2 linked regions of the Mytilus edulis genome follow. The protein of the gene in region 1 binds, or shares a complex with, the protein of each later gene. Links are inferred from orthologs where the notes say so. Each region holds a gene or a part of one and is shown on either strand. Other genes may lie near its edges.

Region 1 (7,959 bases):
GGTCATTAATAAATTTCAAAGGTCAAATGATGTACATTTTCTCCATGGCAACAGATATATGTGATGTCTTCCATCATTCAATAAAACTGACACTTTTCACCTGAAATCATATCTTTAATCCTAATGTTCTACTTAATTTTTGGTTAAGTGCAACTTACTTCACTATTTCTGAGGTCTTCTTTTTGTCTTTTATTGTACACACAAATATGTCAACTGCAAAATTAATAAAGTTTCTTGGTGTCATATACAACTGTTTTTACATATATATATTTGTGTTGCACTTTTAAATCAGATGTTGTTTTTCTTTAAATAAAAAGTTATTTTTCCTAGAATATATATATACAAAAGAAAATCAAATCAAAATTATAAATTCTTTCCAAGGATGTTATCCATGAAAGAACAAAATGAGAATTTATTCATACTGACCTAACTCAAGTGAACGATAATAAACATCATCTAAAACTGCTTCAGGTTGTTTCATTAAAGTTGGTTCTCCAGTGAACTGTTTCTTTGAGCAGCTGGAACTTATATCATAATCATAGCAATTGCTCACTTCTTCCATGTTCTTGATCCAAAGTTCATCCCGTTAAGCCTTGACCTTTCATCTTAATCTACATCAGGATAGCGCACCTACTTTTGGTACTGAGTGCAGATCTAATAAAGAAAAGGTATAAGTATTACAGATTCTATTGAATAATAAAACATATTTCAATTTTGGTTAAATAATTCCCTTTGTCAAAAATATTAAGTTCTGTGCTTCTCCTTAAAACTTGAAAAGGTAATTACCTATTTGCATGACCTTGACTTTGAAGCCTATGACCTCAAAATCAGTATTACAGATTATATTTAATGATGAGAGATATTTGAAATTTGGTTAAATAATTCCCCTTGATTAATATGTTGAGTTCTGCACTTCTAAACAATTTTAAAAGATAATTACTTATTTTTATGACCTTGACTTTGAAGCTTATGACCTCAATTTTGTTTTGTTTTGTCAATTAGAGAACCAGACAATTTAAGACTACTGGTAACTCACACCTTACTTGTTTCTTTATTGTTATTAACAAAAGAATATACATGATAACAATTAGTGATTACATAATCAATGGATTAACATGATTACCAACTTAAGGATTATCACAGTTTTACCTGTTACTAGCTTTTATACATGTAATATCACTTAAAAAAACTAAATTCTGCACTTCCTACTTTAGATATGTTTCATTTATATTTCTTTGGTGTATAGAACAATATTTTTTTAGGGCAAGACCTTCAAATTCAGAAATGCTGGTTCATGGACTGGGGCACTGGGGTCCTGGAGACCCTTATAGTCATCTACAATATCATGAGTATGTATATATCTATAAATATATAAAAGTTGGTCTTCACCTATCAGACAGTTCTTCAAGAATTTATTATATATAATTCTAGCAATTCATTAATTTTAGATATTCATTGTGATGTGGAGAAAATTTTTAAAAGGTTCTTTTTATATTTATAGATTTTTTTTTGTATATACATACATTATGTAATTATGTCAGGAATGTTATTTTTAAATAATCAATGTGTCCTGAAACTATTACACTAATATATTAGTCTTACTAGGTGGAAAACTAAATATTCTTCTGAACTAGTTTTGAAACCAAGCATTTATTTCTCATCAGATTTTTGAAATGCATTTTGTGTGTTGGTCACTGATGATATCTGCGGACAGGTCCCAGGCCAAACCATAAATACTGGATATGGGGTTATTTCTCTTGACTCATAATTTTTTAGGGCCTAGTATATATATTCTATAATCTTTTAACCCTCTATTAAGACCCTTTGCCTTCATGGCCATTTAAAGTGCTCTTTTACTATCACTGGTTTTTTCACAAAAGATGAGATGCAATAATTGGAAAATAATCCGGTTATGGAGAACACACACAATTGATTATGATAATATTACATTGTACATGTACTTTTTTTGAATTTTTCAAAATTTAACAAATGTACATCTATACTGAATTAAATTCATGAATATTATGGATTTTTACCCCAACCCATGCATTAGGGTTGTAAATCCTAAAATGTACTTTCTCTGTTAGATGATAAAAATAATCTACTGATTTTGACGAAATAAATGGTAAAGATAATTATTTGAGACCACTGACCAGCTGATGAATCAGGATAAAGATATTTTAACTAATCCAGGTAAAATTTTAAACCAATTTGACATTAAAGGTAGCCGAAAATTACTGTTTGACGACTGACAGTTAAGAGCATTCCTTCCCTCTTACATGAACCTTTACTCTGCTGGCTAATGGTAAAAATTTAAAGTAAATTATATACAAAATATTTCGTGGGGCGCAGCTAGATTTGACAACAGAAGCCCAACCCTTAACTTTTTTTAATTTCAAGTTGCATATGACTTTAACCAAAAATATATTTCCATTTATTATTAAAAAATAGAAGGTAATTTAATCTTAAAAGTCATAATCATTATATTATATACTTATTCTGTATTCTGTATTCTGTAGGTGTCGCTGTTGACACTGGATTGTCTCCCTTGTAATTATTTAAATCTCTCGTGTATTTATATTTCACTCTGGTAAACAACTCACTTGTACTTTAAAATACATACTATTAGGTGGCAACTGTGCTTAACATATTTTTCCAAAAATTAAAAAATATATCTACATTTATTAATTAACATGAAAATTTAACGGAAAAGAAAGAAAAAAAAAAAAAATAAAGAAAAAAAAAATCAAAAAAAATCTAACATTACATTAATCAAACCGGCGCGACTCGCAAATAAAGTCACCCAACAATCGCATTAGTGTTTCATTAGAGACGGAGACATTGTCGTTTTTTTCTATTGACAATAAAAGTTCCAAATCAATATGTAACGATCCTGTGTTGAAGTATATCTCATGTATAAGTTTCTGTCTTGCCTCTTCATAATTTTCACAAAATAGTAAATAATGTTCCACAGTTTCTAATTGACCGCATTCACACTTTGGGTCTATATTTTGATTGATTTTGTTTTGATAATTTTTTAATATATACTTAGCATTAGCCAATATATGGCATAGGGTTTCTTTTTTAAAGAATGGAATATATCTGTCAACTCATGAAATGAAAAAGAATGTCCTTTGAAAGGTTTAACTAACTCTCTAACAGTGAGTATTCCTATACGATTTATAGCTTAGCCTTATGTAAGTTATGGAGACCTGATCAATATGAACTGCTTTAGTCTGTATATTGTAATTCTTAAACGGAAATGATTTCGGTTAGGGTTTGTCTTTTAGAAATTTGGGAGGAAAAAATATTAAACAACGTTCTATTGGCTGAAATTTTAGATTTAACCAATCAAATATTCTGTATTATGCCAATGTAATTGAGATGTGAGACGGGAGAGCTCGATGAGCTGAAGAATAATTTCGCAAATCACACTGTGATTAAACCACTGTAATTATCAAATTATTTATTTATTTGTACTGCCCTTAATTGCGTAAAGTATAGACTCGGAATGAAGCACTTCAATTGTTGATCAAGCCCTGTCAATGGCCTTGGACAGATCTCTTCTAAAGTTCTATTTCTGATCTCGAAATATTGAACAAACACAGACACTCTTCACTTAATGACTTATGTCACTAGTCATGCTAGTGAAGATGTTAACGAATACATACCTATATACCTTTACCAAGGATTTTTATGGTCTACAAATTATTGCCTTCACCTACTGACCTACATGTAGCCCACAAAATCATAATGTCTAGTCACAGGCACTAGACGTTCTGTCAATAGCAAGTCAAGCTAATTTGCAATTCAATTTTTTTTTTGCTTAGTTGCAGGAAGGTGTCAAAGCGAAAAAATAAAGTAGCAAGACAACATCAATGTGGGATAAAAACAGTCACAATAATAAAAAAAAAAAAAAACACGGCATGATATCGCTATTTGTCCGCCATTACTGGATATCACACAGGTTCCCGTATAATTTTGACGTCATAAAACAAAATATCTGAAGCCACAATGGAAAAGTGATTGTTGTTGACCTCAAAAGTTCAAGAGGCCGGGTCTGCCGGGATTAGCGATAAGGTGTATTATCTGGACTACTGTGACAAATGTAGGAAAATGTTTAGCAAAAATAAAAAATGAGCCTCTGTGGTTTTCCCTGAGGCTATTTTCATATTTTCAACGGCCCTGCTACATTTCCCATTGTGTGAAAAAAAATATTAGCTGTGCATATTAATTATTGAAGTTCATAATAACTTGACATAATGCTGGCGAAAGTGTAAAGCAAAATAATGTCCTATGAAATATTGTCCAACAAGACAATATATCATGACTATGTACTATGAAATTCTGTCCTCATCTATAAAATTATGTCTTGAGACGGACAAATTTTCATAGTGGAATTTGGTCTTGTTTGATTACAATAATTCACAGATGAATAGTATGAAATTTTGTCCTGCTAAAGGGAAGTAATCATTTGTTTATATTAAGACAATATTTCATAGACTGATTGTTATGAAATTTTGTCTTATGAAGGGGAGGTTATCATCATATATCATGATGGTTAAAAATATCATTAAAGTGTTTTCTTCAATTGACAATAACAAAAAAGAAAATAATAATAAATAGATACAGGTATAAACATGATAAATAGAAAACTAGTTTTGTAATCATGGATGGCAAGGAGTATAAAATACTTTTTGAGTTTCTCAGTCTAAAAGTTTCACTGGAAGGAATTTCAGAAAATCAGAAGAGAGTAATTAGAAGAAAGTCTAATTACTTTTGTATACAGAACAATGAAATTTATTTCAAAAGTGTTGATAAGAAATCAAATGAAGTTATGAAAAGACTTGTGATTCATAAAGACAAATTATAAAGAGTGATGTATCTATATAAATATATATATTAATAACCAAATTACAAAATATTTTGTTATTATTATTCAAAAATCTGCATGCTGCATGTTTGTGTAATATAACTTGTATTAATTTGAACAAGAATTTTTATTATGGACAGTATTCTATAGGGAAAATTAATATTATGCTGTTGACAAAATTTAATATAAAATATTGTTAGCAGACACGTTTTCATAATGATATATTGTCATCAGAGACATGTATGTGTATATATGTCTCTGTTGTCATTGACAGTATTTTATAGTGAAATATTGTCTTTAAGGCGGTGACAAAATTTCATGGACAAGCACAATATTTCATAATGAAATAGTGTCCTTGACAATATTTCATTATGAAATGGTGTCTTAAGACAATATTTCATGGAGGATAATATTTTATGTTACAAAAGCATGTGATGTGTTCTGAAACGTGACTAACTGGTAATTGTTAATACAATGAAATCGGCTGTTATTGTTTGAATGATAAAATTAGACAGAAGTCAAATCCATTCTGATGCACATCTCCTACATAACTTTCGAAAATCATTCCATTTGAATAATTTCAGTATGAAACTGCGCCAACTCAACACTGGAGATACATTGACATATGACATTGAGATTTAGGTTGATATTAAATATAAAAAAAAATCCCCTGATATTTCAAATATTTCAAAGCAAATATTGTGCTCCATCAGAAACAGTTGAAAAAACAATTAAAATCACAAATTTTGTCATGCTAATCAAAGATATCAATATTTTTTTCAGATTAGCCCATACGTTATGCTATTTTTGTGTTTTTATCAGACACTGTTTATTGATTATGTAAAAGAAAAGTATTACATCACTGATGCAAAGTTGAAATGAGTTATGGAAATTTATGCAATGGACTTTTGCATTGTAATTTTAGTGAAATTTCAGTTACTTGTTATTTGGAAGTGTAATTTGATAGTTTGTAGACCTACAGGAATTGGTTCTGAGTGCTGAATCTTATTATGTGATAGATTAAATTCATTTTTTCTGTTAACAGGTCTACAGCCAGCAAAATGGATTTTCAAGCATACCCCAGAAATATGGGGAATAAAAGTTCCCATGCATTGAAGTTGCAACAACATTTATATGATCAGATGTCATCTCAAACTGAATTCTGTGATGTCACCCTGATGGTTGGAGATATTGTAAGTACATGTAATATATTTAAAAGTTGAAACAAAGTCATCCAAGTAAGGGAGCTACCATTTGATTTTTACGGGGGGCTAAGATGAAATTTGAAAAAAATAGGCAGGACAGGAGTTTTGAGTTAAAAAAAAAGGCAGGATGAGACACTTGCAAAAAAAAAGTCAGGACGACAATTTAGGTAAAATAAAGTCGGGATAAACTAAAGAAAAAAAGGCAGGACCGAACAGAGTGAAAAATAAAAAGGCAGGACAGAGATTACAGCTTAAATAAAAATGTAGGACAAAATTTTTCATCCTAGCCCCCCCCATAAAAATCAAATGGTAGCTCCCTAATAATGTTATTACCCTGAAGTAAGTTCTGGTCCACGAATGTGGACGTGGGTTGAATCCAAAATCTGACACCATGTATCTTTATTCCTACGATATGAGGGCAATAAGAATTAAACACTAGTTTAGAGGGGGGATAGGACCTTTATTGGGACACCGGGATTGGGTGTTTTCATGATTTTCGGGATTGACCTTTTCGTGATGTCAGGATTTATTTTTTTATAATTCAGGACCTCAGGATTTCATGTTTTTAATCCCGGGATTTCGAGATCAAGACCCCTCCTACCCTCCCTCAGTTTAGGCACACAAGTATAATTGTAAACAGTGACATCATCTAAAGTGTACACATCATCAGTGCTTATCTATCGGGCGCATCATAAACATTTAAATATATATCGTTACAAAAGCCTTTCTTATTCATACCATAATTACTTGAACTAGCCATTTAAGTCTTTTATCAAATTAATTTTAAGAGAAAATGCTTGTGAATGTTTTCAAGTAGGTGATGTTTACATATTTGGATTTTTAATTATTAATGATTTTATTTTAAGGAAGTAAAGGCTCACTGGAATGTACTGGTATCATGTCCTTACTTTCAGTCCTTATATGATAGTGGGATGGATGAAAAAGTATCAGGTAAGGAAATTGTCTATATACAAACAGTTAAAACAGGAATAAGCAAAAACATAAATTCCTGTATGTTTAAAGAAATCGACTAACATCCTTTTAACTGCACAAAAAAAAATCAAATTTACAGTATTTTCAGCAGAGTTGTCACAAAATTGAACTCTGCTAACAAATTTGAAATTGTGTTGACAAACAAATTAAATAAATTCTCAACAAGTTAAACATGACTTCTTGTACATGCTTGAAATCTGTTGTTTGAAGATATAATTTAACACACTTTAGATGCACAAAACGAGCAAGGTTATGGTTTTAGCAGAGCTTTTACAAAGTTGAAATATGTTTATGATATGATGAATGTCTCTCTGGAATCTAAAAAAACCCTAATTTATAAGTTGTTATTTTCACAATTTCAATATGTAAACATGTAAATGGGAAGCTGACTTTTGTTGATTTATTATTCATGAATATATCTTGACATCTAAAACATGTTAATGTTTTATGACAATCTTCAACATTGTAAATTAGGACCTCAGGCCACAATTAAAAATATTTTGGTTCGCCCAAACCCTACCCAAAGGTTGAGACAGTGGGTAGGTACATGTAGGTAGGCATTTTCTTTTTTTTTTCTAAAAGAGAAATTGAAGTATCGATGTTTATTAGTCTTCATGCCTATCTGATTAAAAAAAACCTTCTTCAAATCAGGACAATAAAAGAATTTGAGTAGGCAGCTTTTTTCTGGGTAGGTAGGGTTTGGGCAAACAAACCTATTCTTTTTTATGGCCTCACAGAGTATTATAAAAGGCAATAGACAGAAGATAACATAGGGATTCTAAATTCATTTTTTGAATTGACTAAGGCCAAATAAAAATATATGTGTGGTTCCAGTTACCCTACCGTCCCTACTTTTTCGGCTTAAAAATAGCCTACCCTAAAGATTTT
Region 2 (7,988 bases), on another chromosome or scaffold:
TAAAACTACATATGAGTTATATGTTAAACATCAGGCTTTTTAAATATTACTTATATACGTTTTTTTTTCTCCAGAGGTGTCAATTCATACTAATTTTACTAATTTAAACAATTTTTCTCTCCAACCAACTAGTAATTTTTCTAAAGAAAGGAGATGGTTAACTATTTAAAAATATTTTCTTATATATATATATAAACCGTATATAAACTACCCGGGGTATAGCGAAAAATATTACGTGTTAGTGTTGCCCCATACTGTTAGAAAACTTCTTTCAATGTATATACTGTCAATCAGGGGTACTACTTGTATAAGTAATTTTTACTCCTGACTCACTGTGTTTTTCTAAAAAAACCCACAAAACAGAGAGGATTCATATAGATAAAACCATAGCTGTTGACACGTGTTACATGGTTGTTACTGACCTAGTTCATGTCCAACCGATGTAGACATGACAGCTTCTGTAAGGGCTGGATGGATAGAAAGACCGGTACTATCAACAACTGTAGAGGTCATCTCATCTTCATATTTAGGAGGATACACTTCCTGAAAACATAAAATCAAACAATAGAAAATGTTAAATATCTTTTTGTAATCATTCACTTAACACTGCTAAAAAGTATTCAATACTACAAAAAAATTTAAACAAGATACATCATTTACAAAAATTTTGATATACTTTAGCTAAAGGTATTTCTACTATAAAGAAGTATGTTTCTTTAAGGTGTCTCATGTGGAATAGGTTTTGAAAACCCTGATGGAGCACCTGAGATCACCTTAAGTTTTGGTTTGGTTCATGTTGCTAAATCTTCAGTTTTCTACATGTTGTATGTAGAGTTTTGTGGACTTTCATTTTTTGCAATGACTTAGTCATTTTCTCTTTAGTAGTTTTTTTTTTAGTTTTGAATGTACCCTTGGTATTGTTTAAAATTGAGAATGGAAATGGGGAATGTGCCAGAGACAACAACCCGACCATAGAAAAAAACAACAGCAGAAGGTCACCAACAGGTCTTCAATGTAGCGAGAAATTCCCGCACCTGGAGGCGTCCTTCAACTTGCCCCTAAACAAATATATACTAGTTCAGTGATAATGAACGCCATACTAATTTCCAAATTGTATACAAGAAACTAAAATTAAAATAATACAAGACTAACAAAGGCCAGAGGCTCCTGACTTGGGACAGGCGCAAAAATGTGGCGGGCTTAAACATGTTTGTGAGATCTCAACCCTCCCCCTATACCTCTAGCCAATGTAGAATTTTGCTTATTTTTTTTTTAGTTATTATCATGATCAACATAAGGGCTGTTCCAAAAATAAATGTATGGGGGAAGGAAGGCACTTTTTATTTGACTCCACTATGCATACATTTTAAATTGGATATTTAATTAAATGTTCAAGCAATCTTTCTTAAATAACCACCACCAATCAAATTTTAATAAAAGTGCCTTCCTTACCCCCATACAATTAATTCTTGAAAAACCCTTAATACTTTAAGCATAAAAGATATGTCTACATATTAAAATAAGAAATGTCTTCTTTTTTTATTTTACTTTGTAACCTTCTGTTTTATTTTCCCCAGAATTTGTGCAAACTCTCATTTTAATATTTTCCCCAGAATTTGTGCAAACTCTCATTTTAATATTTTCCCCAGAATTTGTGCAAACTCTCATTTCTTTATTTAAATTTTGTTTTAACATACACATTTCCCATTGATCTTTTCATAAATCACATTCTTGAATTTCGAAAAAAATTACCATTTCTTTCTTTTATTAATTTTCATAAATATTCTTAAATATTTGCAAGTTATAAATCTGAGTCCTATGCACTTTAATCTAATTATATTTCACATATTTACCTGAGCAATTTATAAGTTATAAATCTGAGTCCTATGCACTTTAATCTAATTATATTTCACATATTTACCTGAGCAATTTATAAGTTATAAATCTGAGTCCTGTGCACTTTACTCTAATTATATTTCACATATTTACCTGAGCAATCTGAGTCCTGTGCACTTTACTCTAATTATATTTCACATATTTACCTGAGCAATTTATAAGTTATAAATCTGAGTCCTGTGCACTTTACTCTAATTATATTTCACATATTTACCTGAGCAATCTGAGTCCTGTGCACTTTACTCTAATTATATTTCACATATTTACCTGAGCAATCTGAGTCCTGTGCACTTTACTCTAATTATATTTCACATATTTACCTGAGCAATTTATAAGTTATAAATCTGAGTCCTGTGCACTTTACTCTAATTATATTTCACATATTTACCTGAGCAATTTGAATCTGAAAAGTGGTTTGTGGATTTCTGAAGTGGGTTTTGTAATGTTTAATAGCTTCATCTCTCCTGTTGAATCCATTACGACATTTATAACAATGCCAATGTGCTCCTTTAAATTTTTTCTCTCCTTTTATTATACCAACTATGTCACAATGATCACAGCATCGTAGAATTTTCAAACCTGGAATTATAAAATAGAAATTGTCAATACAGATTTGATGTTCAAAGTTTAACTGATATTAAAACAAATATACATGTCTGCATGTATTGTACAGTTTCTATTACATACATACAGTCTTTAGAATTCTTATTTTTTCCCCCTCTTAGACTCAGTTTTGTGTGGAGCTTTTTTTTTCAACTTGAACTTTTGAGTTACAGATCAGAGTGAAATATTTAAGCCGTATGAAATGTAATTATGTTATTTACATGTTAAAAGTGTTTGTAAATTTGAAAATTCAGTAATGCAAATATTTTATTCACATAATTTATTTTGCACAAAAAGTTTATTAACCCTTGTACAGGTTTCCAATGGTTAAGGTATGTGAATCCAGGGAAAATATTTTATGGTGTTTTTTTTTTATAGTATCTATACAGTACAATCATGACAATTATATTTACCAGCAAAATCAATTCCTTTATCTACATGTTTAACTCTATAATGAGCCTTGAGTATGACTGGGTCATGATACAGTTCTGTCTTCACACAGAATGGGCAATGCATGTGTAATGTACCATCACCACACCTTTGATCTGCACATCTCAAAGGAGTCAAATTATTTTCTGTACCTTTAATCCGAACACTTGGATGAGTCTGAAATATAAAACAAATCACAACTCATTTATATATTATAGATTTTTACAACTTTATTGATATCACTATTATTTCATCCTTACTTTTGAATATTTACAAAAATGTATATATCTAGAAAAATTTTACGCAAAAATTTCTAGCTGTCAATTACATGGTAAAATTGTGTCTCTCTCAAAGGCAACAAGATGATGAAAATGGCTACAGCGATATGATATTGTAAAAATTGTTGCAGAACTTTTGTTTAGAGATAACAAATTTAAAACACATGTAGCCTTTTCAAGAAGTCATAATTATTTGGACTGGGTGATATTTTGTTTCTGACTACATAGTGTCTAGCCTAGTATCCTGGCTCACTGCTTGACAGCAGAGCCAGGCGGAATAAAAAGACATAGTTTTGTCAATTGGATGTAAGAAAGATGCAAATGAGATAGCGTCAATACTTGCCACTGCGGGAAATATTTGTACTGCCACAAATTTGTTTAAAATTATTTTTATTTCATAAGAAATGTATGATGCAGTCCCGCATATCCACACACCTAAGACTTATGACTTCACTTCATTCAACTAATATAACCAATAATTGGATAATATTGTGTTAACACATTCATAACATACTTTTATTTCATAAAATCTTCTGTTTGTATGCTTTCACTCTCAAGATTTTGTGTAATGTGTTTCTAAAATTAGGGAAACTCCTGTTCTAAGAGTTTCTCCAATTTCCGGTGATTTCGCGCATGTCTTCCAAAAATGGCTTATTTTGAATAATGGAAAGATTTTTTTCTACGAAACAAAGCTGAATTTGAACCAAGTACACTGCCAAGGATGCAGAGCAAAAAGTATTTCAATCTGATTTAAATATGACTCAAATAGAAGTTTTATCTGATGATGTATTTTTTTTAATGGAAATTGGCCAAATATTGAAAATCACAGGATTTCAGTTATTATTCAACTCTTGAACTTATCAATTTTATTCTTATTTACCCCTCGGAAGGCTAAAACAATAACAAGAACGATTTTATTTGTGCTACTGTTGTGATATGACAAAACCAGCTAATGTGCGGTATCAACGGTTGCGCGGACACTGGGGACTCCACTGTACATTTAAAATAATTTAGCAAATCTAACCCAAACGTTGTTGATTAACATTGTCATTCATTGTAAATCACCAGTTAATTAACGATGCGGTTGATTTATTTCTAGAACACACGCTTAAAGAGTGTCCTTCCAAGTAGTTATTTCCCTTTGTCCTTGATGGAAAGATGTGTAAAATTGAAACAAATTGAGAACATTTAATTGAAGTTATTTTTTTCTGGTTAATTGTTGTTATGTCCACCATTAAGCTACATTCTATGAATTGCATATCCAGAAAGTGTTTCCCCCAAATAAGAGATCATGCAAAAATGCATGGCTGGATTTCTGAATAAAATCATAAATTGTTAGCAAAATTCACCATCGATTTACAATTTTGCATGAACTATAAAGGACTTTAACATGTTACTCGCTTACAACATAAGTATTCATTGTCAAAGACAATGCTTCTGTCAGCTAGAAGCAAATTCAGTTTGGAAAACTATGAGATTAGTGTCTCCTTCTTTCTTTCCTTGTGTTCACGTCACCAATATATGTCGACAAGCGCAGAAGGATATGAACGTCACTTCCTGAAATTTCAAAGTCATAATCTAGGACGATATAGTTTCCTTTGCCGGGATCTCACGCTGACGTCTTCAGAAGTTAAAAACTCAGTTCCACACAAAAGAGGAATCCCAAATTATAAACATAAGAAAGGTACCATAACATTTATCAGAACACGAAGGAATATCACAGATAATAATGAGGAGGAGGAAAAAGACTTTGAAGCCTTTTCAGGTTCAGGTCAAATGTTAAGGAAGAAAGAAAGGAAATGAAAGCTTTATTTTTGTATGACTTGGGACTTTTGAACTGGCCATAAGATGTGCAGAGGACATTTATTTATTTTTTTTGTTAGAAAGAACTGTTGAACCTCCTATACAAATTTTCTTTGTCTTGCAATTAACTGTGAATTAACTGTCTTCTATCGGATTTTGGACGCTTCTTCAACATCGTTTCAATACTAGTCAATAGAGTAAGACACAAGAAACAAGCTTTTCTTTTAGGTATTTATAATCTTTGTCAATTTCACAATGTTATCTGACGCAAGGCTCCTTCAAATTTCTACTGCCGAACTGGTTTTACCAGGATATCTCAGATGACCCTAATGATTTAAAAGGCATTATATACACAATCCTGATGGTAAATCTTAGATCCTCTTGTGTACGTACCTGCAAAGAGGACTCACTTAATCTCTTCACTCAGGTATATATATAGTTAATAGTTATGTTTGAAATCATGTAATTTGGTTGCACATCTTGAATACACCCTATCGCTACATGTATTTTGAAATCTGCTCAGGTTGAACCCAGAATTTGTGCCGGTTGAGGCATCATATATTTTGTATTATGATGCAAAATTTTACTGGAACCTTTGTGATGTCCTGCAATAATAGCAGACAAATAGCGATAATGTGTATACATAAGCATTGATAAGATAAGATATCTATACTATTAAACGAGAATAGCTCATTTTGTGTGTCGCTTCTCTTCCTTCCACAATAAATTAATCATCATGCCTCTGTGTCCTAAAGGTACCATGTATTGTCGCATTTGTCATCCATTCTTATGATTATTCAGTTTGGGTTATTTTGGGAGAAAAACGAAAAAAACTGCGTCCGGAAATTTTTCCGTCATTGGACGAAATTTAAGGTATCCGGTCGTTCCGGCCCCAAACCGATCCGGCCCCAAGTCAATCCGGCCCAAAGTCGATCCGGCCCAAGTCGATCCGGCCCACGTCGATCCGGCCCCAAGTCGATCCGGCCCCATAATAAAATAAGAAATAACTATATTGATCTTGGAGGAATTTGTGACACAGTATAAATGGAATTTGCAAAAAGTGTCCAATGATGGATGACAACAGGTATTAAGTGAAGTATTGGAGTACCAGTTAAAGAACTATTTTAAATCGATACGAAAATGATTGTTATTGTGTCGTTGGTTGTATAGCAGCTTCAACATATTTTAAAATATGAAGTTATTTTCCATGATAACTTTAACTCATGGCGATTTCATTTTCTTTTTTTTTCATACACAGAATATCTAAATAAATATTTAGTCCACTGGAACCTATTAAATTTAACTCATCATAATGACTTGATTAATCAAATCATTAGTCTATAATTGGTTTGTTTATTCAACAATTGTCTGATGATTGTGAACTAAGGTGATGCCACTTGTAATCACTTAATTAAATCAAATCCTGATTAATTGATGTTCTGGTTAAGGTTGGTGTATATAATAATTATAAATTGTATTTTTTTCAGGTAACATCACAGGCTTCTATTTACTTGTTGTTTTTTTTTATAATATCAACGAGGTCTTTAAAGATTGATATTTTGTTTGGTGTATATAATAATAACCTATAATGGTTTACTTTTATAAACTGTTATTTGGATGGAGAGTTTTCTCATTGGCAATCACACCACATCTTCCTATATCGATATATTTTTCATAAATTTGACAGTATTTTGAATAGTTGTGTGTAGAAAAAACACAAGTTATATGAGTATCCATTATTCTTTATTGCAAGAAAATAACAAAACAATGACACTGAATGCACGTTTTCACACTCTAAAATAAAATATCAGCACTACTAAAATATAACAATAACATCATACATACTAACTATCTCTGACACTCACATAAATACACATAACCTTTTAATAAATCATTTACACTAACAGTTTTACACTGTCACTTACCTAAAGGAATTGTTTTAATATAATTATACCCAATAATCTTGAAAACTTGTAATAAAAACATAATCAACCTAGTTGTTTTATACTCATCTGAAGAATTTTTTTTTTTTACCGTACACCTTTAACATTGTAATAAAAATCATAAACATTTATGAATTACTTTAATATATATCTTTATTTTTATTCCTTATAAATATATTTTTTTATTGGGGCCGGATCGACTTTACATTTGGGCCGGATCGACGTGGGGCCGGATCGACGTGGGACGGATCGACTTGGGCCGGATCGACGTGGGGCCGGATCGACGCGAAAGCAAATTTAAAGTCAGACTAGACATCTGGTTTTTGTTTTTTCTGTACTTTGTACATACCAAGGATTATGAATAACGTTGATTTGCTATCTGCTATCATTTTCAAGTTTACTATCCACGACAGTAACTGGGTTTATTAAATAGAGAGGGTCTATATATTATGTCAATGACTGCTGTGGATCGATTAGTAAATTGAGAGTTGATATAGTAAAAAGCAAATACACTTTATTTATAGTAATGTATGTTCATAATATACACATAAACGCTAACATTATTTAAATCAATTAAAAAAAATTATAAGAGTTTTGGAGGAAAAAAATTAGGAGTCGGGCTAAAAAAACAATTGTCCTGTCCCAAAGTACTTATAACTTTTATTATCTTTCCTGAAATTCTCCAGTCATTATTTTTTTTACTAACATTCATCCTACAAAACTTTACATACTTTCAACCATGTTCTGGATGCCCGCGATTTCGCGGGTGTGTTCTAGCATTTATCATCCTTGTTTAAAGTATTTCAGTTTTGGTTATTTTTGGAGGAAAACGAAAATATAGGCGTCCATATATTTAACTGGGGTGACTTTTAATATATTAGTGACCGATTTATATAGTACTTAGGGTATATATATATATATATATATATATGTTTGTTCATAGTATACAGAAAAACAGAGAGAATAAAAATCAGTATTTGGAAAAAATAGGGAAGGCAAAAAAAAATGTGCCCAGTCCCCAAGTTCCTTCGAATTT

The links.
Region 2: the proteins of probable inactive tRNA-specific adenosine deaminase-like protein 3 (region 1) and tRNA-specific adenosine deaminase 2-like are in contact, whole or in part, in a crystal structure (PDB 9HMM), measured with the Mus musculus proteins. The link is inferred for Mytilus edulis from reciprocal best matches to the Homo sapiens genes ADAT3 and ADAT2. Residues at the interface, in NP_001094076.1 of Mus musculus: Val217, Ala218, Pro220, Leu221, His223, Ile229, Asp230, Ala233, Gln236, Gly237, Glu270, Ser272, Pro274, Val276, Val290, Met291, Met294, Ala295, His298, Ala299, Pro311, Asp312, Leu318, Phe319, Val321, Arg324, Asp326, Leu327, Asn328, Pro349; in NP_080024.3 of Mus musculus: Val62, Asn63, Lys66, Asn67, Ala68, Thr69, His71, Met74, Ile77, Leu81, His85, Pro91, Cys107, Ile108, Met109, Ala112, Ala113, Leu116, Met117, Arg130, Phe131, Val137, Leu138, Ile140, Asp144, Leu145, Pro146, Asn147, Thr148.

What each region holds. Positions count from the first base shown.
Region 1 is NC_092346.1:29,879,943-29,887,901, forward strand, and holds the start of probable inactive tRNA-specific adenosine deaminase-like protein 3, read right to left. Parts: upstream 3,267-7,959; 5' UTR 3,213-3,266; exon of another isoform or gene 3,153-3,212; intron 1,350-3,152; coding exon of another isoform or gene 1,285-1,349; exon of another isoform or gene 1,270-1,284; intron 655-1,269; 5' UTR 563-654; coding exon 427-562; intron 214-426; coding exon 159-213; intron 1-158. Other genes in the region: kelch-like protein 21, read left to right, coding at 1,285-1,349, 5,919-6,066, 6,945-7,029.
Region 2 is NC_092349.1:85,697,209-85,705,196, forward strand, and holds the start of tRNA-specific adenosine deaminase 2-like, read left to right. Parts: upstream 1-4,783; 5' UTR 4,784-4,825; intron 4,826-5,150; 5' UTR 5,151-5,237; intron 5,238-5,303; exon of another isoform or gene 5,304-5,436; intron 5,437-7,988. Other genes in the region: uncharacterized protein, read right to left, coding at 423-543, 2,285-2,475, 2,913-3,105, 4,612-4,626. UniProt on the Homo sapiens protein: Probably participates in deamination of adenosine-34 to inosine in many tRNAs.